4 linked regions of the Astyanax mexicanus genome follow. The protein of the gene in region 2 interacts with the protein of the main gene of each other region in a pairwise test. Links are inferred from orthologs where the notes say so. Each region holds a gene or a part of one and is shown on either strand. Other genes may lie near its edges.

Region 1 (8,472 bases), on a different chromosome or scaffold from region 2:
ATTAAGAGATCACTTCAGTTTCTGAATCAGTTTCTCGGATTTTGCTTTTTATAGGTATACAGTATGTTTGAGTAAAATGAACATTGTTCTTTTATTCTATAAACTACAGACAACATCTCTCCCAAATTCCAAAAAAAATATTGTCATTTAGAGCATTTATTTGCAGAAAATGAGAAATGGCTGAAATAACAAACAAAAAAAGATGCAGAGCTTTCAGACCTCAAATAATGCAAAGAAAATAAATTCATAAAGTTTTAAGAAATCAAAAAATATTTGGTGGAATAACCCTGATTTTTAATCACAGTTTTCATGCATCTTGGCATGTTCTCCTCCACCAGTCTTACACACTGCTTTTGGATGGCTTTATGCCTTTACTCCTGGTGAAATATTTAAGCAGTTCAGCTTGATTTGATGGCTTGTGATCATCCATCTTCCTCTTGATTATATTCTAGAAGTTTTCAGAGATTAAGAGATTTCATTTTTTTTAGATTTATGAAGACCAATAGCAGAGTGTTTTGATAATGAAAGCTTCCACTACTAAAGTAAATACTCATTACAAAAATGCTGACAGATTGTATTGTTCTTTCATACCACCTGGATTCAACATGCCTCAAACATCTACAATATTTATCTAAATCATATCTCTCTGGGATTTGGAGATGTAGAGCCCTCTCTGGTATGAATGTGTAATTGCAACAAAAAAAAAAAAAAAAAAGGAACAGTACTTTTAAAATGTGCATAGTGGTGCGGTCTCATAAAGAGCTCAGTCAAACGCTTAAAAAATAAGATTAGTCACATATTTTCTTTGTAAGACTGAATTGTTTAATAATGCATATTTAAATGTAAATAAAATAAAGGATGTAATATTGGTAACATTATATAACAATTGGTAACAATTATACTTACATAAGTCAATAATTTATTTTGTATTTTCAGGAGGGAGGGCTTTATCGTCATAGAGGAGCAGCTGAGTGTGTACAAGTGTGTCTGAGTGTGCGTGCAAGTGTGTGCTTTAGCTTTTTGTAACGTTACAAAGTTGTGCACAACAGCCAGAGTGCTTAATTTTTTTAAATCATCATTATGCTTTAATTTGGTCCTCTAGGTCAAATCTAACAAAATAAATGTGGTTTAAAAAATGTGGTAAAAAAATGCAAAATAAATTTCTCCTGAACATCACTGAATGCTCTTAAATACATTGTTTAAAATCTTTCAAAATTGTACTTTTTGTTACAGTCTTCCAACTATATAAAATTACATTTTATTCTCCTCAGTATTTACAACAGGGCTGTTGACTTCTGAGTTACTGGGGTACACTGGGATGCTCTCTTTAAGGGAGAACGCCCATAACTTCCCCCTACTTAAACACCACTCCTCGTCTTATTTTCATCATGTGAAAAAAAGAAGCCTGTTAAATGAATGAACACTGCAGTTGGAGATTTAAATGGGTCAGATTTTGCCAACAAGTATGTAAAATTTAGCTATGTTAATGAATTAATCTATTAAAAATATTTTCCAGTGCCTTAAATGTAATTAATGACCTGGAAAAACTTACAGGTAAAAGCTTAACATTTCGCTTTAAAAAAAAAAAATAAATAATATAGTGTATTTCTCTATGTTTGATTTTGGAATGTGTCAGGAAACCAGTGCACCAGGTTTTATTGTGATGTACCAGATACTTCCCATATTTTCAAGTCAGTAAATATATATTTTCTACAGTACTTACAGCCTTAAAAATAAGTAAAATTACATTTTCATATCCTCAGTATTTACAACATGACTGCTGAATAAGGCAGACTGTGAGGAATACACTGGGATGCTCTCTTTATTTTTATTATGTGAAAAAAAAAGCCTGGGAAGGGAATGAACACTGCAGTGGGAGACTTAAAGGAGTCAGATTTTGCCAAAACGTATGTAGAATTTAGCTATGTTAATGAAGAATTTAATCTATTAAACAGATTTTCCAGTGTCATAAAAGTAATAAATTACCTGAGAAACTTTACAGGGAAAGCTTGACATTTTGCTTTTGTAAAAAAAAAAAAAAGATCTGTAAAGGCTATGATTAAATTTAATATAGTGTATTTCTGTATGTTTTTTTTTCATGTGTACTTACAGTAGAATTTATATCAATCAGTTTCACTTGGCATGCGAACAGACATTATCGTCGTACTGATGTTATGCGGTACTCACAGTCTTCAAACTATATAAAATTACATTTTTATCTCCTCAGTATTTACAACATGGCTCCTGAATTAGGCAGACTGTGGGGAATACACTGGGATGCTCTCTTTAAGGGAGAACGCCCATAACTTCCCCCTACTTAAACACCACTCCTCGTCTTACCACTGAGCAAGCCACTCTATCAATAAATGCTAATCTCCTAATTAACAAGCTAATTAGGTAATTATGGCTTTGCAGAAGGATGCCTAAATGAAATATGACAACACAGTCACCGGTTTCTCAGACACCTGTGGGTCGTTTTTGGCTGTCATCGCAAAAAAAGAGCAATATCAATTTCAACAAATGACACACTTTCATGTACAGTGTGCAAAGGGCTGTGTGGGGGTGACAACCTGCTCACTCTTCAAAGACTTAATTGTTTTTGAAGAGACGAGCGTATTATGGTATAGGAGGAGTGGCTGTTTGTTTTGGAACTGCCAATTAAATCTGTCACAGGTTGAAGATTTTATCACTAATTGTAACACATTTACATGGAGAGGAAATGCATGATAATTAATCATGAATTTATTATGCATGGGTCTATCTATCTATCTATCTATCTATCTATCTATCTATCTATCTATCTATCTATCTATCTATCTATCTATCTATCTATCTATATAAATAGTATTCATATAGGCTACTATGGATGTGTTTAATGCTTAAAGTAAACTAACAACTAATTAAACCACATTTAAAAGCGACAAAAGAGAACATTTAATATTCTTCAGTTTGCAACAACAATCAGGTTTAACCTGAATTTTTTTAAAACATTGAAAAAAAATTCAGCATGCACCTTTCTTAATATCTCATTCAGAGTTATGGGATATCCGTACTTCATAATATCAAGCAGGCCCTCGTCATCATGTAAATATAATATTATGAAACAAAAAAAAAAAATCAAGCTTTATTTTCTTATTCGCAGAGATTTGCTGTCATGGTCTTGGAAATGAATTATGTTGACACATGGCTGGAAACAATAGTGAAAAGGCATGCAATGTAATGCAATGAAGAATCATGTGCTGCACCAGAGGAGAGGATGTGGAGCTGTTCCTTTGAGCCCTGTCTGACAGCTATGCAGTGCGACTTGACAGCTCAGTATTGCAATGATAAATGCAGTAGGTCTGGGACTCCCATTCACTAAACTCAGGAGTGTGTTGGGTTGATACTTCAAGGTCAAGTGAATAAGAACGAACAGAACCACACAGCTTGCTAAAGAGAGAGAGAGAGAGAGAGAGAGAGAGAGAGAGAGAGAGATGGTCTTGTTTGCGTTCATGCTTCTACATAATTCACTTCATCGTATTGTGGGTCATACAACATTTAATATTTAATAAAAAACAGGTTCATGCTTTCTTGATTCTACCTAAGATTTGCATAATTTTAGGACAATTTTAGATAGCTGTAATTCCCAGTGAATTAATAACTGGTTATGCTCGTTTTACATGTTTATTTAAAACATCAATAATTTATTTTTTATCTTAAATATTTACTGAAACACTGTAAGTAGTACATACACAACTCTAGCAAACTGTAGCAAACACATAGGTAATATAAATAATTCCTCACAATTTGAACATGTACATGTGGTGGCTATTGCAGCAGTGTTAACAAAAGCCATCTACTGCACTGTATATAAATTTTTCAGATTGAACACACAGCATATGTAAAATAAAAATAGCTGTTAAAATGGGAAGGGCGTTGTTGTTTAAATTTAATAATAATAATAATAATAATAATAATAATAATAATAATAATAATAATAATAATAATAATAATTTAACATTTTAATTACAGTGGCCAGACTCACCTGCTCTCTCACTCTTTGCAGATAACACAAAATGAAACATCAGACTTTTTCTTTTTCTATCCTCAATATCTTTCACAGTGCATACAGAGCGCTTTTGAGTGTAGTGGTGATAAAGTAATGAATACAAAACATGGCCTCTCAAGCTTCAGGCTTTCTTATATTTTCATTCGAGAGCCTTTTTTTGTTTATTTTATTCTCCTATGGTTTATCCCAGAGGAAGATTTGATTTTCCGCATATCTGATTCTTTGCTCTTTAATTACCCAGTGTTAATTCCCCTTGTTGAGTGTGTGTGTGATGAAGGCAGGCCTACAGGGCCTCGGAGTCGTAGCATGTGCCCAGAATCCCAGTTCTGAAGCACAGTTCTTTTTTTTTTGTTGTTTTTTTTTTTTTTTTAGGAATTTGCAGCATGGTGCTCTCACATGCTGCTGCATTAGGAGAGGTGTCTGATTGGCTTTCTAACTCCACCCAAATTAACAGTCTGCATGCCTCAGTCTTGGTAATTAGTCCCATCACAGCAGAGTCTGTCATGTCACAAGTGCAAGACTTGCTTTTTATTTGATATTTGTATGAACATTAAGACTGTTAAATAATGACTGAAATAATTGACTTAAATAAAATGACATAAAAAGTTTAATACAGTATGTGCAAGTGAGTTTGTTGCATTTTCTCATTACCTATACTTAAAAATTAATTGATCTGATTTTAGACGAAAAATACATTAACAGAATAAATATAAAAAGGTTTGTGTAATAGGAAACATCATGCACCTCATATTACAAATCTATATGGTGAATCCATACTATGGTTCTGTTCTGTTTGGTTCAATGTCTGAAGACAGTTCTTCTGGCAAAAAATCAGGAGCAACAACAGCAACAGGCCAAAACGTAGGACCCGTGTATTTGAAGACAGCAGGAAAAGTCACCGGGTGTTCTCGCAGGAAACCCAGCACAGCCCCATCGCACGCGCGCCAGCAGCAAGCGCGGAAACGTCACTGTATCTCCTCGTAGTCTGCTACCATAGCAACTGCAGAGGAGCACTGCGCAGCGCCGCCTGCTTGGGCAGTAGGTGTCACCCGTGGCAACGACCAATCAGAAGTTGCTGTTTCGCTGCACGGTCCTGAGCTCGGTGGGCGGGCGCTCGCTCGCAGCGGAGCGCTCCGATTGGACACTGTGCCGCTCACTCAAAGATAAGCGACGCCGCGATTGGCTCAAAGCGTTTTAGCTCCAATAGTATAAACATGTCCTCCACTCGGCTACCCTGCTAGGCAGGCTTGGTAGAGGCGGCCATACCGTGATACGGTGTGGAGAAACGAGGAGGCAGAGCAATCCATTATCAGTTTAGAATCAGGCAACATAAAACTTCGGGTATGTCTTTCGCGCGTTTTACTGCAAAATTCGTCTAGAATGTGACGCATCCGCTCTAAATGAGGCACGCGCAAAGTAGGACTTGAAGCTTTCTTTTTTCGGTGTTCTCCTTTCGTCATTATCATCACTAGTATCATTAGTAGCGCGCTGGCATTTTGTTTTCCAGGCTCTGGCGAGAAGTGACAATCCAGACCCCTCCTCTGCAGGGCGGAGCGTGCATTTTGATGTCGATTTTTATAGCGTTTTTTTCTGCTCAGCTTCAGCTCTGACACGTCCTCACTGAGTGAGTGGCATTGGCACATTGTCAATCGCTCACTACCGCTGCCATCAAACAACATAAAGCACACACAGCCCAAACGCGCGCCTCATAAATTTGAGCACGCTGATATTTTTGCGCATCGCTTCATGGCGTGTAATTAATTTTTTTCTTCCCCTACTCATCTTAAGAAAAACTTTTTCTACGTTTTATATTTTTTACTGTCACGTTTAGGCTAAAAGTGTTGCTTCTAGTGTCGGTTAATTTAGTTATTTTATTGCTCGTTCACATTTTCGGAAATTATTTGGAAAAGCAGTTATTTTGTGTTTTCTTTCTTCTTTCAAATATTGATCATCCATTCAGTTTGCTCTGCTGTTTTTACTCGGATATTTTTTGTTTGTTTGTTTCTGTCAGATTTCAGTGCGGATTCAAGCAAGTTTTGAAGAAGTGCGAACGGAGAAATTACATAAAGAAGAGACAAAATCAAGCCACCTGCAAGGAGCAACAACAGTTCAGTTTTTTTTATATTATTTTATTATTTTTATTATTTTTTTATTTTTTGCGAAGAGAAGAGAAAGTCAGTTTGGTTTGGAATGAAGACTCGGACAATATTCAACGGACGACTGCTGTCCTCTCACTGCTGAGCAAGTCAACATCTCTACGAGAGGCTGAGATTTCGCTAACGGACATTTCTACACGGATTTTTGTGAGAAAGTGAACAGCAGCAGTCCTCCCTCGCTGGTGGTGGTCGCGGTGCGTGCTGTTCACCTTGTTGCCACGAGCCCGCTTTACATCCAACGCTTCGGAGAGGAGACCAGCCCCGCAGATGCTCCTCGTGTAGTCACGCAGCCTTTTTGCATGCGCTCATTCCGCGTATCTCCAGCTTCCTCTGAGACTGAGTAAGAAGCGCATTGATCGGGTTGCGGCGGACTATGGACGAGCAGGCGCGGATCATGCAGACTCTCGGCGGGGTGAATTTGGCTGCGCACGCGGTGCAGGGAGGCATGGCACTGCCGCCTCCACATGGACACGACGGGACTGATGGAGACGGCAGGAAACAAGACATCGGTGACATTCTGCATCAGATCATGACCATAACCGACCAAAGTCTGGACGAGGCGCAAGCAAAGTTGGTGCATTTCTTTAAATTAATGAGCGTTTGAGTGATTTAAGTGTAGATCAAATCTAGTTTGGCTGTTTATAATACATAGAGCTTACACCGGCTTTACGTTATAGCTATTAGTTAGTAAACGTAGTAATGTGGGGAAGTTTTTTTAATCCCTGTAATGTTTTTTTTTAAATAGAACTCCAAACATCCAGGAAGAATTGTTCTTAGCTAACTTAAGTCTCTTAGCTAAGTCACCTGTCTCTATATGTGTAAAACATCCAGCAAAAAAATACAAATACACAAAGTACCCTGCCCTAAAGAATGTAATCTCTAAGACTAAGTGTTGTAATTTAAAAAATGCTTTAAACAGTAGAACAAGCAAAGGCATCCAAGAATGCACCATACACATTCTGTAGCTATTCTCTAAAACACTTGTGGGCATTTCATTAAAAGTTTCACAGACATCCCCCCTGTCCGGTAGCTGGACCATAGAGGCAGGCCTCACCGCTTGTAGCTCTGTCCTGTCCTGCCACTCTTATCATTTATTGCTGAGTGTGATAAATAAATAAGATCCAGTGACTAATATTAATTAGATAAAAATAATAATAATAACAATCTGAAATTGTGCAATAATAATAATATTAATAGTAACAAAGGCAACAAAGAGGCATTTAATAATAAAAGTGACAGTTACAGTGCATTTACTAGGCTATTTTGGTTTCAAATAGTAAACACATTAAGTACATTCAGTTTAGCACACAGTCAAGTGGGCTCACAATAAGTGAAGAAAATCGTTTAAAATAATTGAAGTGACTATATACCAATTTTGTGTCTTGTTCCAAACTGAAACAGGAAACACGGACTGAACTGCCACCGAATGAAGCCTGCCCTTTTCAGCGTGCTCTGCGAGATCAAAGAGAAAACAGGTAAGAGTGTAAATTCCGTACAAAAAGCTTCTCTTACACCGACATGCCTCAATTAATAAAAAAAGGAACCCTCGTGCCACTAAAAAACATCTCACCCCGCCATCTTTCCTATAGTTGTCTTGTTTTCCCTCGGCGTGGCTTTCTCTGCTCACCTCTGCGGCTCGGTCCCAAACCGCTGAGCGCAAAGCGCGCAGAACAGCGCCAGCCTGCAGCTGCCGGGAGCGCGAGCCCCGTCTCCAGCTGCCTCGTGCTTTTCGGTTGAGGCGCGCGCAGCCCTTTAGCCGTTTGTTTACTTTGCTTCAGACGCGCATTGTCCGGCCTGAGCCGCGCAGAGAGAGAGAGAGAGATTAAATATTGTTCACATTAAATAAGGCGCCAGACGGTTCCGCGTGCGCGTGTGTATTGTAGTATATACATATAGTTGTATATATATTTTTTCTCCAATGGCTGTTTGCTTAATTCTAATTACCCACATTTACATTGCGCCTGTGGAAATATGGTAATGAGGGCAGCGCGGTTCGTGTGGTTGTTAGTCTCATTATGTGGCCAATTTATTGGAAAATTATTGGCACTATTGGACATGCAGCTAAGTATTGACTCAGACACTCAGTGTTAACCGCTTCCTTTAACACTAAAGATCATTAAATCTGAGCCAACAGGAGTTTATAATGTATTTCTAAAAAAAAAAAATGTCATTTCTACTAGAATTTGAATTTTACATTAAACAGGAGTATTGTGAGAAACCTTTCCCACAGTCTACATAACTGACAGGCTACAAGTACTCACCTGACCA
Region 2 (7,912 bases):
TTACTTTAAAAAAATACAAATGACCTCAACTTATTTAAGTAAATTCAGCTTATCAAGGCTCACTGTATGTATAGGAAAAGTTTAAAGATGTATTTACTTACAAGCAGTATCTAAATGTATGCTACTTCTGATGATCTACAGGAGTAAAGTGTATGTAAATACTATATTGTATTATAATATCGTAAGACTGGTAATAACAGTTGTTCATTTACTCATAAATAAAACATACCACATGACGTAATAACATTTAAATGACAGCTGACTCCATGATTTTCTTCCCTCTAATTTCTTTTTGGATAATTTGCAACCAACGCAGCGTGCCATAATGCGCTACAGTGTGATGAGAGACGACAGTATGGACATTTAATTGGCACATTAACCTGCGAACACACACCCTTTTCACTCTTCTCTCTCTGCATATGATTATGGACATGTGGCACACACATTAGAGTAAAGCCAAAAATAATATTTTTTAAATGATTTAAGTTTGAAAAACATTATTAGACAGCTTTGACTCACTGAAGAAGGCTGCAGCTCTGCCTGGGCATTAATTAGTGTTTTTTATACAGCAGTTTTTGAGGGATGTGACTTTGCTTGCTGTACTGGTAGTAATTACACAGTGCAAAGATACTGCAGGTTAAAAATAATTTAAAAAATCATCTTAAACAAGCAGACTTATGGTCATAAAATATGCCTAGAAGCAGATAAAGGATCTGGAAAGTCTGCTACATACAGTGATTTCTTTTTATTGTACTTCTGCTTGAATTTAAAATTATTTCAAATATATATATTTGTCTTTAATATCTCAAATAAAAATGAAAAGACCAACATAAATGGATGTGAAGTCGTATCTGTCTTAGTTTCTAGGGGCTGAATGGTGTGTATATAGGTAGGAGAAATAGGCTTGGGCAAATATGTAACTAGTTATTAGATGCAGGAATTTTTCCTGTATTAATTTACTAGTAACAGAATGGCAACAGACTGTGCAATTCCTTAAGGTTTCTTAGGTCTGGTAAAATAAAATTAATATATTAAATCCACATTAATATATAGAATATGTCTACATTATATTACTATACTGTAGTGTCACCAGGGGTGGAATAACGAGGCCAAACGATAGTCCTATTTTTTTAGTATGATAGTTCTTTTTAAACAGCGATTCATCAGTGAAGACCCTTTTTCTCTCTCTAACCAAACATCAGAGTTGCTAACGTGTGCTTACAGCATGCTTACGCGGTGACTCTGGTCCGCTCGCGGGGGTCGCTAACCCAGTGTTAGCATAGCAGCATGCTAAGACACTGACTCTAGTCCGCTCATGGGGGATGCTAACTAACGTGGTGTTTCCATAACAGCATGCTAACGTGGTTACTTTGGTCCGCTCATGGGGGTTGTTAACACTACTTTCTACTTCCTGCTACTACTAGCTACTTCCAAGAAATGGCTGTAAGCCAACACAGTTCATTGTAGCCACGTGTTTCTAAAAAAAAAAAAATCAAAATACAAAGATTCCTCACAACTCTTACCCATGCAGTTTTTTTTTATGAGACGGTATAGCTAGCCACCAGTTTAAAGGGGTATTATATCGGCGGTTTAATACTTGCCTATTTCCAAGAAATGGGTGTAAACTGTTTTATAAACATAATATATGAAATACAGTTGCCTCACGATTAAAATAAACAGTGACTGTGCTCGTTCCGTGTAATCCTTCTGTAGGACTTTGCATGATATTTTCTTCAGTATCTTGTAAAATGTGGGATCTTACAATATTTTTTTAGGTGTGCTTAGTCATGTCATGTTGACTTTACTTACAAATTTCTAAACAAAATAAACACAAATTTCGGGCTTTACTTGCTGTTTTAATTAAGCAAAGGGGAAAATCCTATAATTTTAAGTCTTTTCATTATAATGAGCAAAGATTTCTGGGCTTAAGTCTTGTTAACTTTACTTAAATGTATAAACAATAACTTAACCCATTATTAGGGATTTGGGGTTGGGTTATATGCCCAATAACTTCAACAAAGAAGAAAGAGGGCAACTACTAAATGTGCTGGGAGCTCCTTGAAAGCTCCTAAATCCTCACAACTCCAATGCCAACACTGCCACAATATTAGTACAGTAATATGGTTCTCTCTAAATGAAGAATAATAATTTATGTTCATTAGGTTAGCATTAGCAGTTTCCCACAGCTTTTGCATATTAACTGATTCTGTAGGTTTATTGATTTAAGAACATGACATTTTGCACAATTTTCTGTCATACCATCTATAATGAGGCTACATTATAGAAGGATAAGAGTGGAAAGTAAATGATTAACTGATTTATTCATTTACTATTTCACTCATAGGTTCCTTCATTTATATTACATTATGTGTCACAGTCTAAATGTCTGTCTTGATAAGATCAGGGCTGATAAAACTCTGATAGAGGACTTCATATCAATCAACAAAAGCAGTGTATTTATTCACATTCACTGTTTGCCCTTTAAAGATTAATACCTCTTTCTTTGATATGCACACTCACACATACTTCAAAAGTATTTTAAAACATTCCACTCAGATGAGAGTAAAGTACATGTTCCAGATATTAATTTAAGGGTATTTACATGCATCACAATTTTACCATGTTGAAATTAAAAATAAAATGTTGTAGCCCAAATTTAGGGCAATACAGCTCTGGGGGAAAACTTAGAGACAACGTCAGTTTCTGAATCAGTTTCTCTGATTTTGTTGTTTTATTCTATAAACTACAGACAACATTTCAAAATAAAAAATATTCTCATTAAGAGCATTAATTTGCAGAAAATGAGAAATGGCTGAAATAATAAAAAAATGCAGAGCTTTCAAACTTCAAATAATGTAAAGAAAACAAGTTTTTATTCATAAAGTTTAAGAGTTCAGAAATCAATATTTCGTGGAATAACCCTGAGTTTTAATCACAGTTTTCATGCATCTTGGCATGTTCTCCTGCACCAGTCTTACACGCTGCTTTTGGATAATTTTATGTCACTCCTGGTGCAAACATTCAAGCAGTTCATCTTGGTTTGATGGCTGTGATCATCCATCTTCCTCTTGATTATATTCCAGAGGTTTTCAATTTGGTAAAATGAAACAAACTCATCATTTTTAAGTGGTCTCTTATTTTTTTCTATAGCTGTATAATGTTAGGAAATCTGCAGTAATATATACATGAGAGCAGTCATGTTAAGTAAGTTTTTGACAATCTTTTCACTGACTGACGGAGGTCTGCAGTTTACAGAGATTTTCATCAAGCCTACAATGCAGCCATCTTTTACTCTTGCTTGTTTCTGGTCCTTTTTTCCTCAGTTGTCTGCTCAGTAAATGGAAAACATAATCAATTTAATTTAAATCAGGTTTAAACTGGTTAAAACAGCTTTAATTTTTATTTTGAGGAACTCCTTTAATGTCTTAGCAGTAGATGCGTCAAGTAACGAGGTACAAATACTTTGTTATCTTACTTAAGTAGAAATGGTTATCTATACATTTCCAACTCCGCTTTGGTTTATACTGTGATCCATCACACCTTAATGTCACGTCTTACTCCAGCAAGAACATAGCAGAGGTATGTAGCCTAGTATGAAGATGATCCGTGCAGAGACTCAAGAGAACTTAAGCAAAATGTCTCAACTAGGCTTCTTTAGTATAATTGAATATTTGAATAAAATGAATTCATTTTCAATGAGCCTAGTACATCCCTGCATTAACATTTTAATATAACATTTTAGAAAAAATAGGCTCCTGAGGTACAGCCTAAGCTTATGTTCTTAATGCCATTTTCCCCTTACTTTACTTTTACTTTTATACTTTAAGTAAATTTGAAACCTGTACTTTTACACTTTTACTTTAATTTCTGCAGAAGTATTTTAACCCCTGTTATATACACTTCTATCTGAGAAATGAATGTGAAGACTCTTAACAAAGTTGCTCTTCAGTATGTTTGGGATGATTATTTAGCTGCAGGATTAAGCACCGCCCAGTAAATTTGGAGACTTTTGTTAGAAATTGAGTCAAGTGTCAGTGCGCTACTGCCATCAGTGAAGATAAGTGCACCAGCATCTGTGGCAGCCGTGCAAAGCTTCAGTATGTCTTGACACCCACACCTTCATGGTTCACAGATAAGGTGGTATACCTTACAGCTGATTGGCAGCTCCACTTCCAACACATCAACTTTGAGAACTGACTGTTCACTTCCTGCCTAATAAATTCCAGCTCTTGACAGGTGCAATTATGATGGGATAATCAATGTTATTCACTGATTCACTCGTGTGGTTTTGTGTGTGTGTGTGTGCTGTTTAAAGGGTCACTGACACATGGGTAGGTGTATCTAGGCAATCAATAATTACCCTACACTGCAACTGGCAAATTTCCAAATTTCCGTAACCTAGATTAAAACAGAGCAACACAGTATCTGCCTTTTCTGTTCTAGACATTTTAAACATAAGCCACAGATCACTAAATCTCTAACAAGCCAAAAGCACTGGTGTAAAATTCCTTCATGAGCCAATAAGCAGCGCACTTACAATATCAGCAAACATCTATAGAAGCCTCTATGTACATAACCTTGGCTTAGCAGGCCAAACTTTTAATTTGATTTATGAAACAACCTTCATCATCACACTAACAGAGACTTATATATAAATATATATATATATATATATATATATATATATATATATATATAACCTCCATCCACTCTTTATCTCCTTGGAATGCCATAACCTAATATTTACCCAGGAGCAGTGTCCCCAAAGCTTTTTGGTTAATTATTAACTCGTGGTGACATTGCCAGGCTGCTGGTTAAACAACAGAAGAAAAAAAAAAAAAAGACAGAAAGAAAAGAGAGGAGATCAAATAAAACAACGATTTTTTTTATGGACTGAAGATGTGAAAGGCTAAGCAAGAAAGTGACAGGGAGGCACTGCAGATAGCTGCTCTGAGATGGCGGTTTGTCCTCAGCGGTCTTCAGCCATGAATGGGAGTGGCTGCACACCTGTCGGACCGGTTCGCGACACATGACTCCCAGGGACTTACACACTTCAACACACTCGTTCTCTGGAAAGCCTTTGAGCCTCTGAGAGAGATGGCTGAAGCCACGAACCCGGCCGCTACCTCTTTCCCAACGCCCACTATATCCTTACCGCTCGGGCTGGACGTTTTGAGAACGTACTCGGGGGCTCTGATATGCTTGGAGATCGTAAGTGTGTGTTAAATTTTAAATCTTGTGTAATGTTTGCATGTTTTTGATCAGTGTAAAATAGTCATGCTGAAGAAATGCCTGAATAGAAAAGAGCAGAATTGCTGAGCAATACTTAATAAAGTATATAAATGTTGCTTGTGGCACTACTATGGATTATTAAGAATGATTGATTAAGAATGGCTTTAGAGTAGCAAACACAACCTAAACCATTAATGCACCTAATTCATAATCAAATAGACTCAGATTGAGCAGTGATTTCATGCTGTGCAACTCTTTACTAAGTCATTTCAGGTTGAAGTGTGTATTTCAGGACACATCTCAACTTTTACACAGTGATTTCTTCTGATGGATGAATAGGCCTCTGATCAGATTACTAATAGAACATTTTGTACCTCTCCTGTTCCCTCCTGCTAGGTTTTCGGCGGGTTAGTATGGATCTTAGTGGCATCGTCCAATGTCCCCGTGCCTCTTCTGCAGGGCTGGGTGATGTTTGTGTCCGTAACCATGTTTGTGTGCTCCTCCGTGTACCTCGCCCTGTTTCTGCTGGGCTTTGCTGATAAAATCAACGCAGACTGGAATTTCATGGTGAGTATCTTTAACTCCTTCCTACATGGAGTGTTCATTTCCCTACTATACTGTTGGACACTGCTGGACTCCAGCTTACCTGACACAGAGAGGTGTCAGGTAACAAAATACAAATACTTTGTTACCTTACTTAAGTAGAAATGTTGATTATCTATACTTTACTGGAATAGTTATGTTTTTACTTCTTACATGTTTACACAATAATCTGAATTTTCTTCTCCTTACTTTTTAAATATAGCCTTGTTACTCTATTTAATTTCAGCTTGTTTTAATTCTGGCTTCTCATTGATAAAAAAAAAAAACCTTATCCAGATAAATCTCTTTATATTTAAAGACAGATACAGTGAATTTTATTGTGATTGGATGAGAAGAATAAACATATACCATTCCAACACTATTGGTTTATACACGATCCAGCACACCTACACACGTCACACCGTCACACTCCAGTAAGAACATAGCAGACGTATGTAGCTTAGTATGAAGATGATCCATGCCGAGACTCAAGAGAACTCGAGACAAATGTCCCAACTAAGCTTCTTCAATATATTTACATTGTACTAAAATACATTTATTTTCAGTGGGCAAATATGCAGATGAAAAAGTGAGCCTAGTGCATCCTAAAAATGTTAATATAACATTATACTCATTATGGATTTTAGATAAATGCTTCTGAAGGGGTGGGTAGTGCAAAAAATGCCCCTAAGGCATGGCCTAATCTTTCTGTTCTGTTAATCTGTTCTTAATGCCATTTTTTTAATTCTATTTTAAAACTCTAGTATCTATACTTCTACCAGAGTAATGAATGTGAATACTTTTCATACCTTTTGCAGGAAACATTATAAGGAAGTTTAGCAATGTTTTGAAAAGGTTCCAGAAAGGTTAGCCTGTAATGTCACAGAAATAATGTTCCAGGAACATTCTGAAAACATGAGACATGATAATGGTTTGCATTACAACATTTTTAGAACTTTCTTTATAACATTCCCAGTTAGATAAATATTAACATTATGGAAACTTTAAAAGTAACATTCTCAAAACTAACAAATTAAAACACTGACACAAGTGACAGTGCAGCAATGTTAATTAAAATGATGTTCTAATGATGTTAATTGTAACATTTAGAAAACATTCTACCAACCAATCATTGATATTTGGAATTCAATATTTAATATATGTACACAATAAACCATTACTACTATAGTACTATAGGCTTTCTAAGAAAGGAACTTCTAAATAGAGTATCACAGAAACACACCAGTCCAATAACATTGTGACGAATACCCATGATGGCACAGTTACTTGGAACTCATTCAAAACTGAGCAAACAAAAACTGATTCCCATTCAGTTAGCATGCTGTTGGCTGGGTTCCTTAAATCTGACAAAGAGCTCCGTCTGCAGTGAAACTAGAGTGGAAGTGGCCAAAAGGCGTGCCAGTCCTCAGTCCTGGCCCGGGTTCCAGCCCTGCTGCTGAGTAATGTCTGCTTTATGAGCATGATTAATGGTCACAGCTTAACAGTCCTGCACATATCTGTGTGTAACATGTCCTTCACATTATACTCATATTCCTTAATAATTAATTGCTGCAGAGATAAAGCACAGATTATTGCTGATATCCTGTTAATTAATTGCATTAATACAGAGTTGAGTTTTAATACACTGCCTGGCCACAAAAAAAGGTCACACTCTTTAATATTTCGTTGGACCGCCTTACGCTTTGATTGTGTCACACATTCACTATGGCATTGTTTCAATAAGCTTCTGCGATGTCACAAGATTTACTTCAATCCAGTGTTGCATTTTTTTTGCAATCATTTTTCACCAAAATCTTGCAGCATTGATAATGGTAGAGTCTGACTTCTGAACAAAGCCTTTTCCAGCACATCCCAAAGATTCTCAATAAAGTTTAGGTCTGGACTCTGTGGTGAACTCTCAATCCATGTGTGTAAATGATGATCTCATGCTCCCTGATTCACAATTCACAATTTCACAATTCCAGTCCCATGAATCCTGACATTTTGTCAGTATATTTTTATTGTTATCCTAAACGAAGGAGGAGATAAGAAAATGATGATGACAAGATCTGCCAGGAAACATGTACCAGGATCTCCC
Region 3 (7,462 bases), on a different chromosome or scaffold from region 2:
TGAGGGGTTTGTTTTTTCCAGTGTCCTTGTGGGATTCCTCCATGTACTTTAGTTTCCTTCCATATTCCCAAAACACATGGTAGTTGAGTTGGCTATGCTAAAATACCCCTGAGGTGTGAGTAAGTAAATGTGTGTGTGGTACCCTGCAATGAACTGGAGTAGACCTACCCACTCGATAGGGTACATTCCTGCCTTGACCTCAGTGATTGCCAGTAGGTACTGACTAGACTGGACCACCAAATAGCAACATGTTTTTGAACTGCGGTCATTCGACACCTCAACACAGTTGGGGGAGAACACTAATACCCCATTTACATGTGGCTCCTTCATGTGACTAGTATCCAAATAGATTCTGATAGGATTTGATTCACATGTATTTCCATTTGGTAGTCAAATGCATCTTCAGTCAGGCCGACTGAAATCTGATTGCTGCCGGTTATGGAATATGCAAATCTATTCATTGCACAGCGATTACAGTATAACTGGTGTTTCTGTTGTACTTGGAGAAATTTGGGTTGATGAATGTGTCTCAGAAATAGAGATGTGTTTAAACTGTTATAACGTGGCCCATATCTGGAGCCTATGACTTTTTTATGTTACTATTACAATGTATATTATTATTTTTGTATCCCACCATTGATAAACTGTTTGGCCAGTTTGGAAAGTATTTACATCAGAACTAAATCGGTTTATGCTGCCTTAAAAACATTTATGTGTCTGATGTCAGGTGGTGGTTCTAGGTAGCACCTTAATGAGGTTAAATGAGTATTCAGTGTGTTTACACCTTTTGTGTTTTTAGTCATTTAAAAATGTTCTCCATTGTAGATTAACATTAAAGTCCTCCAAACTATGAAGAAAATACATGGACTTATTTAGTAAACAAGTGTTAAACAAACCAGAATGTTATTTATATTTCAGATGATTTAACATAGGCACCTCTTGCTTCGATGACAGTTTTGCACATCTTGTTAATTACTTGAATTTCTTGTCCTCTTAATGTGTTTGAGAGTTGTGTTGTGAAGAGGTAGAGTTGGTATACAGTAAATAGCCCTGTGTGGGTAATGTTAAGAAATTAAGGATAATCACAAAGACCATTCATCAGGACTCTCATCAAAAAGACCAGGCATACCTGTCAAGTTTTAGATTTAAAAATAAGGGATATTTTCCTCTGTCCGCTTAAAGCCGTCCCACCAGCCCAACGAAGGTTCAGTATCCCTTACATGTTAAAACAGGTTTACAAAAAATCTAAAATAACCACATGTGAAACACTTACACTACAATTAGATTATCAGAATCTGAACATGTTGTGGACATTCCTACATATGTCATTCTTTTAATACAGCCAAATTAAAAACCCTTTTCTATATATTTTTTTTATTTAAGATTTCATGTCTTTTTTGTAATAAATGCACTCTTTTATATGATATATTTTTTATTTATTTAATGGATTTAAAATTGAACAAAGAGTGCACAAATTCTGCAAAATGACTGTTGGTGACCTAAAAATGGTATTATGAGCTTTTACTAAAAGGACATGGACCAGATATATTCCATCAGTAAAAATTAGTCCTAAGGGGCCTACGCAATAATTTTTAATTAATACTTCTTCCTTTTGATCACTCCACCCCTGATCAGTTCAGTTAATGTCGGTCCTCTCCACATTTCTAGTTAAACTGAGTCACAAGCTGTAATTTTTTTTATTTTAAAAGGTTTAATCTGTGTGTTTTATTTCGGAGTATTTTTAAGCAGCTATCAGAAAAATCTCATCACAGTTTCCATGATTAGACTACCGTTACCTTTCTTTTAGAAAAAAGCTGCCTGAACTCACAGCGAGGAGGGCGGGGCTTCCCCACACTGACCCTCCTTGCAAGCTGATTGGCTGTTTTTCCTGAAAGGCGGGACTTTTTCCTTGAACCGGCTCCACGATTGGTTAAGAGACACAGAGCGGTCAGTGCCCTGTATCCTCAATAATATATATTTTTTTATTTTAATAAAATACGGGAAATTTACGGGAAAATACTAATACGGGAGGACAGCGGGAAAGAGGAGTAAAATACGGTAGTTTCCCGGCCAAAACGGGAGACTTGACAGGTATGAAGACCAGGTGGATAAGTTCATTAGAGGTACCACAAATTAAACAGCACGTGTGATTAGAGTATTTTGGTTTGTTTAACCCTTTTAAGTTACTACATGATTCCTTATGTGCTCCTTCATAGTCTGGTTGACTTCAGTGTTCATTTACAATATAGGGGGGGAAAATGTAATACATTGAATGAGAAGGTGTCCAAACTTTTGAGTGGTACTGTTTGAGTGGTACCCTAACCCTAACCCTAACCCTAACCAAACATTTCTCTCCATTGTACTATTTGTGATTTCCATACATTAATGGGTTTTAAGAAATAGGGCTTGACAACAAACTAAACAAATTGAGAAAGATGGGAGAATGAAAGAACACTAATTACTTAGAGTACTGTTTTTGGCAAGACTTTAAAATAAAGGTACATCAATTAAAAGTACTTACAACAAGAATAAACATTGTTAAGTGGCTTAGTAATGTCTCGACTAATTATTAATAGACAGTAGTTAAGACATTATTAAATATTATAAAATGTTAATTCTGTAATGTTGTAAATAATAATAAATAAAGAAGTTCAAGTGTTAAATGATTAATAATGTCTTTATTAGTGTCAATTAAAAAATAATACTGTTTATTAATGTACAGTTATTGTAGAGGGGTACTCTTTAGAGGGGTGTCTTTTAAGTCTGTCCTTCTGAAGGAGTTTTATGTGTGGATTTTTCAGGATGTTGTCAGTGTGAAAACAAAGCAGTAAGGAGGAGCTCTGTGGTGGGCGGTGCTGGATCTGCCAATCATGTTGGTCTAAAGCATACAGACCCGCCCACACAGAGAGTCATCTCACTGTAACTTACCTTTTTATTGAACTGGGTGTTCTTTTTCTCACTTTGCTAATTTAAGACGAGTTAAATCTAGTTTTACATTAAAACATTATCTTACATTCTGCGCCCTATTGCTTTTTTGCACTCAGACTTTGGACAGAGAGAGAGAGAGTGTGTGTGTGTGTGTGTGTTTACAGCTGCAGTCTCTCTCAGTATGGCGGAGTGGTATTTTTATGAATGGAGCAGATAGAAAGAGAGAGAGAGAGGGAGAGCAGGAGGGAGGAAGAGGAGGAGGATTGAGCCAGGCTGCAGTGTCTGCGTGTGTCCGGCAGGGGGGAGTTTGAAGCTGGAGCTTTTTTTCTGAGCTCCATTTCCCAACTAAAGATAAAAGCCTGAAAACCGCAAATATGTATTGCTGCAGACTGGAGCACCTCCAAAGAGGAGGGGCTTGCCTCCAAATGGGAGGTCCACAGCTCCAAAGGGGAGGGGCTTACCTCCAAGTGGGAAGTCCACCGGCTCGAGACTGTGAGCGCGTTTGTGCGCGAGACCTCTCTCACCTTCCGTGATTATTATTATTACTATTATTCTATTACAAAGAATTTAATGTTATATAAATTGTACTATCACATTATATTATATTATATCATATTATTATATTAAAGTCTACATCGCAAGGCAGGGAGACCTCACCCAACACAGCTTCATTTTCTGCCGAATGCCACAAAAAAAGTCCTCCGTGATTAAAAGGCTCATGGATGTCAATAAATATTTTAGTCAACAATTAATGATTATTTATATTTCTTAAATGTCAAATAATATACGTGTAGTGTGTATGTATTTATAATATTATTGGCTATGAATAAACAACTGCCTTTATTATTTAGATCTTTACTATTTTATAATTTGACAAATTCACAGCATGGCAAATGTTTAAACGTTTTTAAATAAATAAAATGTGGTTGCAATGTGCACAACATGCTTTTAGACTCTTAGAAAATGCATTTTAAAAGAAAATAAACATTTAATAAACGAAATAGATTAATTAATTAACTTTTGGGGTTATTTACAAGCACAAAACGTCGTGAAAAACACCATACCGCCTAACACCAAGCACCATCCTACTTGGAGGTAGGCTCCACCTGTTTGGAGGTATGTTCCTCTCCTTTGGAGGTGCTCCAGGCTGCAGCTATACCCTTCTCGAAAACCGACGCGGGGCGTCCAGATGTGTTAGTAACTTTTATCCGCCTCAGAGTCGGAGGGACGCGGCCTGGCCTCGCCTGTAGCTCGCCGTGCTTCTGGTCGACTGTATCTGACCGCTGGGGAACAGGGGGAGATGAAGCCGAGCGCTCGGTCGGGCTAACACAACATTAGCTAGGCTAGCTGGAGATTTTTAGAGGTTCGCCAGCAAACGGTAACCTGGGTTGCTTATAGATAGTTAACTAGCTAGCTAATCCAGCGTTAGCTATAGCTGAGTAGCGTCGGGATGCTGGTGTGATTGGTTACCGCTTGGTTACCGTTTTTGTGCCGTTATGGCACGGAAGGTCGAGACTAACGTTAAGTTGCTGCTGCGCATCTGAATTCCAGCAGAATTTCGCTCTAACGCTAACTAGCTGTTAAGTAGCTCGTTACGACAGAATGCCAGGTCTCTTGCTCTTATAATGGCACCTATAAGCTAGCTAACTAAGTGCTATTTGTCTAGGTTAATTACCCAGCGTAACGTAGTGTATTTTTTCTTCTGTTTACCTCAAATCGGCTGTATGTCTCGCCAAACCCGATGGCTGAGTAGCTGCTGCCCTCAGTAACCAGGTCTAGTTCAGTCCAGCAGGTCTGAGTGAGATCTGGAGCTGCTGCTGCTGTCGCGGTTTAATTTCTCCTAATATCTACAGTCAGTCGTTTCCCTCTCGGACTTACTGACGGACCACTCAGGAGGAGAAAAAGAGAGAAGGTGCCTTAAATACTTAAATACCACAGAGGAAGAATGGCCGCCACTTTAACAGCAGAGGAAGAGCAGGTAAGTGGAAATAAAAATAGCGAGAGGCAGAAACACATTAACTGCTACAGCTGTCATTTTCTAAGGTCACAGAATATTTAACTAGCTAGCTAGCCTAGTTAACCTAACTAGTTAGCTGTCCAAGGTTATTTAATGTTAAACACAGGTCTAAGCGATAGAAACTAGTACAAATATAAACCCTCTGTGGCATGAATTTTTATTTAATCTAAAGGAACAAATGAAACACTGCTTAATAAGAAGTCTGACTGCATAATGTGTCCTGATGCAAAAAATAAAAAACACTTTAATCTAAACAAATAAATGAACAAATGTTAATACCTCAAAACATTTTACATGTTGATGCATTTAAACATATTTTATCATTTTATCTTAGATTAATTTAAATTTAAACATGTTAAAGCATTATATTCATCTTCTCAACTACTAGCATTGCGTCCCAAAACCAAACCCACCTCTAGAGAGAATGTCCAAATTGTTCCCCCGCATTTTATTTATGTAGTTAGGCTTGTCTTGTGATATATTAAAAGAAAGAACATTAAAATTAAAGAGTTTGTGTAATCACAAAAAACTGAGGGCAACACCAAGCCATAGAGGGTTAACATAAGCACAATATTTAAAGATATGTTCTCAGTACAAAATATTTATTACAGTACATTCTGACATGCAGGTATAATAAGCTAACTTGTTAACCTACACAGGAGTGGCGGATATTATGGAGTGGCTGAATAATACCTGGTCTTCCTACAGCTGACTAATACAGTAATTTATATTCAAAATGTGCTTGATGTTATCAAGTTAAACAGAATTAATGACACACTTTGTACTGAAATGTGCTCTTAGTGTTAATCTTAGTGTTGAAATCTATGTTCTCCTATCCATTGAGCTCAGAAAAGTTAAGTTGAATGTGTTCATAGACACTCAACAGCATGCTCCTAGTAAGGCAATGTGAATCACCAGGAATAAGGTCATGTCCATGTATTATATGATAAATCAACATATTTTTCATATTTATTGTGACACACTTTCACACATGTACTTCTACACATCTGACAGTAGTGAAACCACTCACCTAGCTATTTGAGGTTTTAAGACAGCTCAGACCTCACCCTGTGTGAGTTAAGAGAGAATGTGCTGCGTTTGTTTGTGTGTGTGTGTTTGGTGCATGAGAGGTCGGTGAACACCAGGAATCAGGGCTAGATTTCACAATATTTCCACGAAAAGAAAAGAAAGTTTCAGTTTTCACTGTCGGACTAAAATCTTCCAGCCTGAAGGACACGTCCCTGCGTTTAGGCTGGAGGTTCAGTTTGTTGGGTTAAGAGATGTAGTTCTATTTTAAACAATTTTGAGTCTGAAGGTTTATATATAAGATTTCAGGGGAACCTGTGGTTCTGTGACCCTCAGTGTGTGTCTCCCTGAATAAGAAGGAGCAAAAATACAAGATTAAAGTGAAAATAAGTGAGAGTCATGCCTCTGTGCTATTAGTCCCACCAGTAAACGGTCAGTGTTTCCATAAAAAAAGAGGGCCTCAAACAGGAAATGGCCATTATATAATCCTCGCCTGTTATTTACAGTGCGTTATAAAGGAGAAAAACACCACCACATGCAATAGAGCTGCCAAAAATGCTCAATGCTTCTATAGTACTTTGGGTTGAGCTCTAGGTCAATAAAAATGTGGTAAATGAGCCTGTCTTTGCACTTTCCGCTTACTGGCGACTTGTTCAGGAACCTGTTCTGAAGGCTTAAAGAAGGATCAGTGGTCCTGTACCTGAACAAAGCTCTTCTGTCATTTTCTTTCCTGCTTTTGCAGCTCATTTGAATGAGGCCCAGCCTTATCGACCATCTCTTAGACTCCCTCAGCTCACCTCACTGGGAGAGAAACAAAGCTGCGCTGTTATCTTTCGTCCCTACAGTGTCTGTCTGCCAGCCAGTTAGTTTGTGAATGAAGCTCTCTCTTCACTCCAGGGACCTGCATCCACTTTGCCATCTCAGGAGAGGTGCAAGGCAGTGGGCCTTATCTGGGATGTTGCTTTTCTGTGTGTGTGTGTGTGTGTGTTTGGGAGTAATTACATCTCAGGCTGGACATGTCCGGAGCTCAGTGGGCCCGGAGGGACTGGCAGCCCAGCAGCTCGGTCGTTCTCTGAGGCAGCTGCTAAAAGCATTTCCACTGAATGAGGGCTCTGCTCTGCTGCAGGACTCTCACGGGGGTGGGAAGTGGTGGGGCGGGGGTATCTCCCAGGAAGCATCAGGGCGGGGGTTGGGTGGGTGAGTGTGAGAAAGCAAGTGACAGAGGAGTGAAAGACAGAGGCAGGCATGGATGGAGCTGATGACGCACGGCTCTTCCTGTTCAGCATCGACTGATGCCAAAATAGACAGGAGTGACAACCTGAATGTGGCACAGGGGCTGTCTGTCTCTGTTTTTGCACTTAATGACATGGACCTGCACGGGGTTGGCTTCTAAACATTTTATAATCACCAGTAGGTCATGCCACAGCTCCACAAACATTACATGAATGGCACTGATTATTTCTAATAAGCTCTACCCATTGTTTGCCATGT
Region 4 (8,553 bases), on a different chromosome or scaffold from region 2:
CTCCTGCAGAGAAAAGGGAGTTGTGCCAGGGCTGATACTAATCTAAAACAGCGTCTTAACCCTTCTGTTGCTAGGGAGGAGCCCATAATCCCTCCTACTGCTTTCCTCCCTAATTAGTGAAGGGTATAAATTGAGTTAGAGGAACGCTTTAAGTCATCCTGATTAGTATGAACAACTGGCTGCACTCGCAAGGCTATCCTCAGGGATTTTATTAACAAACGAATCAAATTCAGTACGGACGGCCATATATTCAGAGATTCGAGTCGCATGTAGAATTTAAACACATTCCGATCCACCATTCAGAAAGCATGGACAACAGTTTGTCAAGCATTTATTGACAATTTCCTGCTACAGGGCTGAAGGCTCTTCTGAATAATGTGAATAATGGGGTCCAAACGAGGACATAGATTAAAGATTCATTATAAAGCGCTAGGCCTCACCACAGCTCCAAACATACTATCTGAAAATGATCACAGGCACACTATTGATCTCACTTCAATACTGGGTTGAGGAGGGGGGGCACGAGGTCATAGGGTCACATGCTAAATTTATTTATACTTGCCCTCATAGTGATCGGCCAGGTGCATGTCGCACAACGGGCATAGCAGTCACAGGACACTACTCGATTTAGGGGGATTTTGTGTGGACAAGCCGGGTGACGAATCAGCCCTGGATCTTTGAGATGGACCTAAAACAATGCCTTTGATTTAGGAGCCCTAAAGGGGAAGATGAGATGTGCCAGAGGTCACTTTTACAGCCAGGGAACAGAGGGGGGGTTGGGCTGGGCTGGGGCTCCCCAAAGCCTGCTGGTCGAGCTTCTGCCATCACCACGACCTCCCTGGTAATCAACTCAGGTTGCCAAGGCAACTAAGGTTGATAATTGCAGTGCAATGCATGCATGGAGTAAACTGGTCCAATACAAAGGAGGGGAAGTGCACACACCCTTAGCTCTAAACCCAGATTAAAGGGGTTACGCTCAAATGTGACACATAATTCAGTCGGGTGTCCTTTATAAAAAGACAGTTTTTTTTACAGGTTATCTTTAAACAAACCAAGACTATAAAGGATATGTTTATATTTAAGAACTATTCCATTATTTAAGCTGTCATAAGGTTAATATCAAAATGTACAAGACAGAGTGAAAAGTTAATTATAATTACACCTAGGGCTTTACAATATGGATGAAACTAATGTCACATTGACTCATTTTGGTTGATGCAATATCATCCTGATAACAATATGAAAAACTGCTAAGAAAGCCCACAAAAATGAATCTGTCTGTTCTTGTAATATACACTGTAACGTTAATGAATGTCACTCATTGAAATATGCTGTAAATAACGTAGTGAACACTGGAATATTAAAAATGTTTTTTTAATCATACAACCGTTACTTAAACATTTTATATCGTGATATATGAGGATACTGAATTATTGTCCAGCCCTAGTTACACTAACTTACAGTTTAAAACGTAAAGTAGCTAACTAGATATATAGTTAGGTAACTAGACATATAACCTAGCCAGGTTACACGGCTATCAAATATTTTCTAATATTATCGTAACGTTAGACACTAACCTAGCTAACCTACCTTTAAGATAGTTTATTAAAGAGTTTAGCTCACTCTCTGTAACCGTTTAATCCTCACACAGTTTTTAAAGAAGTCAGTAGCCAAATTCCCAGTAACGTATATGTGAACAGCGCTGAAAAGAGACGATTTGAAGACTGTATTCAACTGTCACTGATAAAAATCACAAAGCCAGCTAGCTGGTTTCTCAGGACTGGGAGTGAGCCAGGAAGCAAGCTAGCTAGCGGTTAGCTCGTGTGGTACAAACCCTAGGCTAGGTCAGCTAGCTAGCAACGTTACAATCAGCAGCGGTAGGCTAGTTAGCTTAGCATCTACCTAGCTGGCTAACCTTGCTAGCTAATGGTCTATAGCAGCTCATACTGGTCGAGGAAGACGACAATATTAAAAAGGTTGACCAAATATCCAATATAGCCAAATGTATTAAAGTTTTAATCATATTTTTACAGTATCCTGAGAACGTCCTGGGACCCTGCTAACGTTGACAAGCCCAAACTCAAAAGCTCCGTCCGTGTCGGGAGTAACTTTACCTGTTTGGTCGGGTCGTTCCTGCCGTGCTCCGAGGACAGGTGATGTCTCAGCAGCAAGGCCCGCTTGTAGTTTCGGCTGCCTTTCACCAGCTCGTCGCTGTTGTTAGTGGCAATGTTGTGACACCAAGAGCAAGACATGAGTCCCGACTCTCGATTAAATTTTAGCCAAGGAAACTCCTGCAGCCAGGAGGCTTGGAAAAGCGAGTGTTTCTGGAGCAGCGTCTGCGGTCTCATCTCTACCCAGGGCTTCCTGGCGCCCGCTTCTTCCCGGTCCCCGCCGCTCCCTGCTTCGCCTCGGTCTCGGTCGTCCTCGGAGCCGGTGGCAGCGCCGCTGCCCGCGCCGTCCTCGCTGTTAACGCCGTTGCCTGTCGTCCAGCTCTCGCCCTCCTCCCCCGCGACGTTCGCGTTAGCCGTCCAGCCGATGCTGTCAACGCCTTTACCGACTGTCCATCGACCCCCTTCCGGATCTTCCTCCTCCTCTGCCTCCGGCTCTGTGCTGTCGCTGACGGACCCCCCGCCCTCCACTTTCCCCGGCGACGGTCCTTTCGCTCCCAGATCCCTGTCCTCCTCCTGATCCGGCCTGTTCCCGTTTAAATGCCGATCTTGCCAGGCCTGGGCCTCCCAGCTGTTACCGTTGCTGCCTCGGACACCACTGGAGCCGGTCACGGCTGATCCACCTCCTCGGAAAGCCAGCGACCTGCGGTTTCGTTCTCCGGACATTTTTCCTCAATAAATTAGAACCTACTTTCCCAACGATCTTTATCAATATAATTTACTTTCAGCCCGGCGAAACACGATTACAAATAATCGTTGTTTAAAATGAAATATTCCGCATCGAAATGTTGTGTTTTTTCGCGCTTTGGCCTCCCGGGGAGAGTATGTAGGTTATGCGGAAATAAATAAGGGTTTTAAAGGCATAATGAATTTGAGGGTTTCTGGCTCCGTCCGCGCAGGCCCCGCAGAGGTCGAATGGCAACGACTTTCCCCACAATGCACCTCGCTTCGAGTGAGGGGGGTCGTGGGGCACTTAAAGGAGGATGGGTGGGGGGGTAACTAGAACAGCGAGGGGGGCATTTGTGTTCGCCGAGCGCACCCACAGCTCCCTCCCCGAGCACGCGTTTCATCTTTGGGAGTCGCTTGTCTTGAACTAATAAGTGTGTTGTCCGCCGGGGAGCGGCGTTACTGACTCACTGCGCCGTGTTTGTTTTTAACACAGAGGGAAGAAAAGCAAAGGACAGGTGAGGGGAGAAGCGAGCAGAGCGCAGGGCTTAGTGCACTGTGTTTATTCTTACAGGTAGTGACAGAGGGGACTTTTTGCTCCCTCCCCCTCCCCAAATAAATAAAAAAATAGTATATACTATATAAAAGTGACTTTTGAAAAAAGTGAATTATGAAAAAAGAACAATGCAACACGTACGCACAGCCTATGGATATGGATAAACAGGGGTATATATGTTTTAAAATACACGTCTTAATTAAATTTAAATGTAAAAAATATATAAAAAAATAAATAATTTGAAGTTATTTTGTCATAATACGTTTTATAGGCTGTTGTGGCAATTTGTATTTTACCTAGTCGTGTATGTAGAAATAAAAGTACGTATCTGTATAAATGAATAATTCCTGAATTAATTGTAAGCGCTAATAAATGTTTTTTGTGGAATTGAAACCGTCAGTTTAGTACTTGTTTAGTATGTCACCCAGCAGGTGTCGGGCTTTCCTCTATACAGCATCAGCTCGGTCACAGCTGCGGTTATTACAGAGCCACCGTGCCCACTGTAGGAGGGTACACACACTGATATATAGTTCCTAGTAAATCGAGTTTTTATTTAAATATCTAAAAACCATATATCCAACAAGTATGCTCTCTTAAACACTGTAACACATTATATATTAATATTAAAAACTGCACAGATTTTTGTTAAAACAGTATAAAAAGAGCAACGACATGCCATATTAATTTAAATTAATGGAATAAATGTATGCACACAATCACTCATTTATTGTTTTCTTCATTAATCAACTCATCCCCAACACTTCAAATCATCAAAAATGAGTGGAACAATGTGAAGTGCCAACTTAAAGTGTCTGGATGCACTTATTAGATTTTTTTTCAAACATTTGGAAATATTGCATATTTTATAACATATACAAATTGGTCTTTGCACGGGCCAAAATTAGAGTAAAAAAGGCAATGCCTGATCACCCAAGTTATGTAGTGATAATCAGAAATAGGCAACCTTCTTCTGTTGTTTAAATACACATTTGTGTTTATTATTTAGAATAACTATTTCTCTTGTCCCTCCTTGAACAATTTTAACACTTAAAATAATATTATTTTGAATCTTTTAAATGTGAGTGCAGCCACCCCCCTGGTCAGAGTTGTAAATTACTAATTAAGACAGGTTTGTACACTTGGCTTGTCACTCTATTACTGTACTTGTAAGCAGATGTTTAAGTGTCAGGTTGATGAAAGAACATGTAAGAGAGCTTGAATGATTGGGGCATTTCAGTGTTTTGCCTAAAGCCCCAAAAGTGACTATATCCACCCAGATCGACAGACAGATAGATTAGAAGACTCCTGAGGTCTGATGAAAGCAGCTTCCTCGACGATACGACGAACATAATTTTTCGAGCCTGAAGGTGAAAATAAAGAGTTTAAGCCTTTGTAACAAGATTATTTTCGTGCCGTAGCGCCACCTATCGACTCAAGTGCACTAAAATATATATGTGGGCTCACCACACCCTTTAAGAACACAGAGTTTAGACAGCTCTCTTTCGTTCTCTCGCTGTTTATCTCTGTTGCCCACTCTTGTCCTCTAACCGTTTTTGGGGTGTGGCAGCGGGAATTACCATTAATTTACCATTAAATACCAGAAACTTTTTAAAACCTTTTCTGAAAACGTGCAAATTAAAATGCAGATTAGTTAAACACTGCTGATAGCCCAAGTGACTTCTGCGTGCCTAAAAACAGTGCAATCAAGAAAATTTGAGATTCTACCTCCTGTCATTTTTTGCATCGTGTTTTCTCACAGAGCCCCCTGTGCACTCTTTAGAAGATTTTTTTCCCTCGGAATCAAGGGGTTGGATTTCATGATATGGAGTTTCAAAATGTGACGATAGATTTCCTGTAAGTTCGTGTGGCAAAAGTTCACGTTCATTAAAAACATTAATTGTTGCAATGCAAGCAGACAATAAACGTTTACTAATTATTATTATTATTATTATTATTATTATTATTATTATTATTATTGTTGTTGTTGTTAACCAAATTATTAATGTTTCTCATTTACTAGTTTGTTTTCCTTATTCAAAAAATGTCCATTGAACCGAAATTAATATTGCATTGTTCTCTATAGAGTAATGATCATTATAACCTGTAAATGTATGTGTGCATATTATTATTATTATTATTATTATTATTATTATTATTATTATTATTATTATTATTATTATTATTATTATTATTATTATTTGCACGCCGCACTGAGGTGTGTGTGACCACGTGCCCGTTTCTTTTTGTTTACATGCGTGCGTGCTCTGCGTGATGACGCCACGCGCGGCCCCACCTCAGCAGTTTGCAGCGCGTGAAGCTCCAAACTCCTCGCCTGGAGAAGAGAATCAGCGAAGAGGAGAAACCGGCTCCAACAGCAGCGCTTCACAGCAGCATGGAGGAATCAGAGCAGGGTAAGTTACAGAAAGTTGACTTGTGAAGATATTAATGCGCAGTTTATCCCGGGAGACACTGTTAAAACAGCTGTTATCTCCTGTTTCTGTCTGTCTGAAGTTAGCTGAGGTGGGCTAGCTAGGTCAGGTCGTAGCCATAACTGGCTAATGGACCCCTGTTGCTAAGTTTTCTGCTGGAGACTATAAAGAAAACATTATAGAAAGTGCATTTCTTCAGGACCTGTGAAATGTTCCTAGAAATGTGCCATGTTTTGTTAAAGTACGGAGCAATAACAAAGAAGGAAGTTTCAAAACTCTTTTTGTCTGTTTGACAAGATTTTTTAGATACTTCAGAGCAAATAACGCTTATCTTTTGCTGGATAGAGTTAGCATCACAGCTTAAAATACTTATTTTTTAAAAGATATGAAACGAATTGTTCACTTTTTGTTTAATAGTTTAATCATGTTTAATCAATTCACTGCAGCCTGCAACCATATGTTACGTCCGTTCTATTATTTCATAAGGGTCCTTTGGTAGCTAGCTTAGTTATTTTCTTTTATGAATTGACAAATTTGGCATATCATTCACGAAGTAATTAGTTTAACTAATGTCTGTTTTTTTAGCTTCATAACTGTTGTGCCTTATTTAGAAACGGTGCATTTAACTGGAACTACCACTGCAGATGTTCTAACATACATACAGTATGTGATCATAAAACTGTCATATGGTGTGTGTGTGTGTGTGTTTGTGTGTGTTTGTGTTTGTGTGTGTTTGTGTTTGTGTGTGTGTGTGTGTGTGTGTGTGTGTGTGTGTAACTGATGCTGTCTGAATTTTGTGTTAATCACTGAAGTATCTGAAAATCCAGTTTTGCAATAACAGGAGCTCAGACTGAGATTATCTCAAGGGATGGTTTGAATTGCCTCTTATGGGGTTTTCTTGTGTTAAAAGTCTCAGATTACATTACAGGCACCGATTCTGTTGCCACTAAGTGGTACAAATGTAACTTGGTTTGGGTTTGTGTAATCTGTATTTAATGATTAATATTTCTGATTTATTTCATAATTGATAATGTAAGGCAGTCATGGGCTGTCTAGAAGAGTAAGGACTTTTAGTAAGCCATTTAGATTAAAGATAATTTGCTTTTATTTTTGCATTTCCTGGGACCTTTCTCTCCTGCTGCTACTTTTATTATAAAATTGATCACATTCATTGCTGAATAATTGAATTTATGTCTGGTAAATGAAGTGCTGTGGCCTTCTGCTTTTGTGCCCTTTTGTTTATCCCTTTGAATACAGATTGTGTTTCCTGTTGAAAGTTGCATATTTCTGATGCTCTCTTATAGACAGAAATTCTGTTTCATATGATTGCAGTATCTCTGAATTTGTGGTTACAATATCCTTAACTGGGTGTCAGATTTAGGGAGAGCAATATAAAATAACAATAATAAGTATTTATACCACAAAAGATATTAATACTTAAATAACTCAGATTAACTGTCTGTTTAATTTAATAGTGTAATTAGTGTGGGAGGACATATTGATATTTTATGGGGGGGGGGGGGGGGTTGTAACAAAATTACAACCCTTAACCAACAGGCCCCACCTGAGGCCTACATGTAAGCCTAGCAGTGCATTTAGTCTGTTCACTAACTCAATATGTAGAACACAATCCAACTGTAGCCTGTATTGTTTTGAGGAACAGGTGGATGTTTCCTGTCTTGTTTGTTAGGCTGGATGATAAATGATCTTTCCTGGTGTGCTGATAATGCTGTCCTAAAGTGTTGCTTATGATAAATTATGAAATATGAAACTGTTTTATGGAGATAATTGTATTTTCAGCAGTTAGAATCATTACGTCACAGCAAGCATCATACTTGGTTCTCTTTTCACCTTTTTTCTGTCCCACTCTACTCTTCGCTCCTCAGGAGGCAGCTTATCATCATTCCTGTTAGGTGGCGGAGGTCCGGTGAGCAGCCAAAGCCCTCCTGTGAGGCTCTCATGCAGGGAAGCCATCTGTCCATTCCTTGTCTTTTTGCATACTCACATCTCCCTGCAGCTTCTGCCACAGGACCACAGAGTTATTTTTAGAGCAGACTGCAGGATGGAGGCTGAGACACCTATTAGTTGTCTGCTGTATAGGAGGTATTTAGGTATACATGTCACCATTGAGACATTTGCTCTAAAGGGAAGCTTGTGTTCATGGCTTGAACTGTTTGTAGAAAATAGCATATCCTATTATTGACTGTTATATCTATATCCTGCTGGTAATGCACAATATTTTTTGTCATAATGTTAAATATATAGAATATCTTTATATTTACTGTAAACTGTGCACTCAGGGTGCACAAGTTCATTAATGCAAGCACATTGCTGATATAGATGTGCAAATGATTCATGCACACAGCTTGTCTAGTCCCTGTAGGGAAATACTGCCATTACAATAGTACTCCTTGGAACATGTAAGCCCAAACAGATATGGCACCTTGTTTTGGGCTTGAGGGGTATAAAGCTCACCAGCATTGACCTGAGGAGCAGTGGATTGGTGTTTAATACCCCCTTATTAATAAACCATGAATAAGCATGTGTCCCGTTACTTTTGTCCATGTACTGTAGATACAGGACTGTTATATGGAATTGTCTGGGGCCAGAATGGGACAGTTGTTAATGCCAGTAATATTATGAGGCCACAAACATGTTCACAGGTGTTTAGTATTGTTTTTTTAAGTATGTTTAAGGCAAAGCAAAACACCCCTCTCTGTGTGTTTTGACCCCT

Evidence for each region.
Region 1: the proteins of mal2 (region 2) and pbx3b interact in a two-hybrid assay, tested with the Homo sapiens proteins (2 studies listed by BioGRID). The two-hybrid records come from large-scale screens. The link is inferred for Astyanax mexicanus from reciprocal best matches to the Homo sapiens genes MAL2 and PBX3.
Region 3: the proteins of mal2 (region 2) and ptpn9a interact in binary tests that used the Homo sapiens proteins (3 or more experiments, as listed by UniProt). The two-hybrid records come from large-scale screens. The link is inferred for Astyanax mexicanus from reciprocal best matches to the Homo sapiens genes MAL2 and PTPN9.
Region 4: the proteins of mal2 (region 2) and tpd52 interact in a two-hybrid assay, tested with the Homo sapiens proteins (2 studies listed by BioGRID and IntAct). The link is inferred for Astyanax mexicanus from reciprocal best matches to the Homo sapiens genes MAL2 and TPD52.

What each region holds. Positions count from the first base shown.
Region 1 is NC_064419.1:16,525,048-16,533,519, forward strand, and holds the start of pbx3b (pre-B-cell leukemia transcription factor 3b), read left to right. Parts: upstream 1-5,277; 5' UTR 5,278-5,389; exon of another isoform or gene 5,390-6,059; 5' UTR 6,060-6,577; coding exon 6,578-6,774; intron 6,775-7,599; coding exon 7,600-7,679; intron 7,680-8,472. UniProt on the Homo sapiens protein: Transcriptional activator that binds the sequence 5'-ATCAATCAA-3'.
Region 2 is NC_064413.1:15,461,057-15,468,968, forward strand, and holds the start of mal2 (protein MAL2), read left to right. Parts: upstream 1-4,846; 5' UTR 4,847-4,989; coding exon 4,990-5,211; intron 5,212-5,628; coding exon 5,629-5,799; intron 5,800-7,912. UniProt on the Homo sapiens protein: Member of the machinery of polarized transport. Required for the indirect transcytotic route at the step of the egress of the transcytosing cargo from perinuclear endosomes in order for it to travel to the apical surface via a raft-dependent pathway.
Region 3 is NC_064409.1:42,591,300-42,598,761, reverse strand, and holds the start of ptpn9a (tyrosine-protein phosphatase non-receptor type 9), read left to right. Parts: upstream 1-4,077; 5' UTR 4,078-4,873; coding exon 4,874-4,906; intron 4,907-7,462. UniProt on the Homo sapiens protein: Protein-tyrosine phosphatase that could participate in the transfer of hydrophobic ligands or in functions of the Golgi apparatus.
Region 4 is NC_064410.1:44,215,797-44,224,349, reverse strand, and holds the start of tpd52 (tumor protein D52), read left to right. Parts: upstream 1-5,170; 5' UTR 5,171-5,212; coding exon 5,213-5,244; intron 5,245-5,688; coding exon 5,689-5,801; intron 5,802-8,553. Other genes in the region: zbtb10 (zinc finger and BTB domain-containing protein 10), read right to left, coding at 2,115-2,834.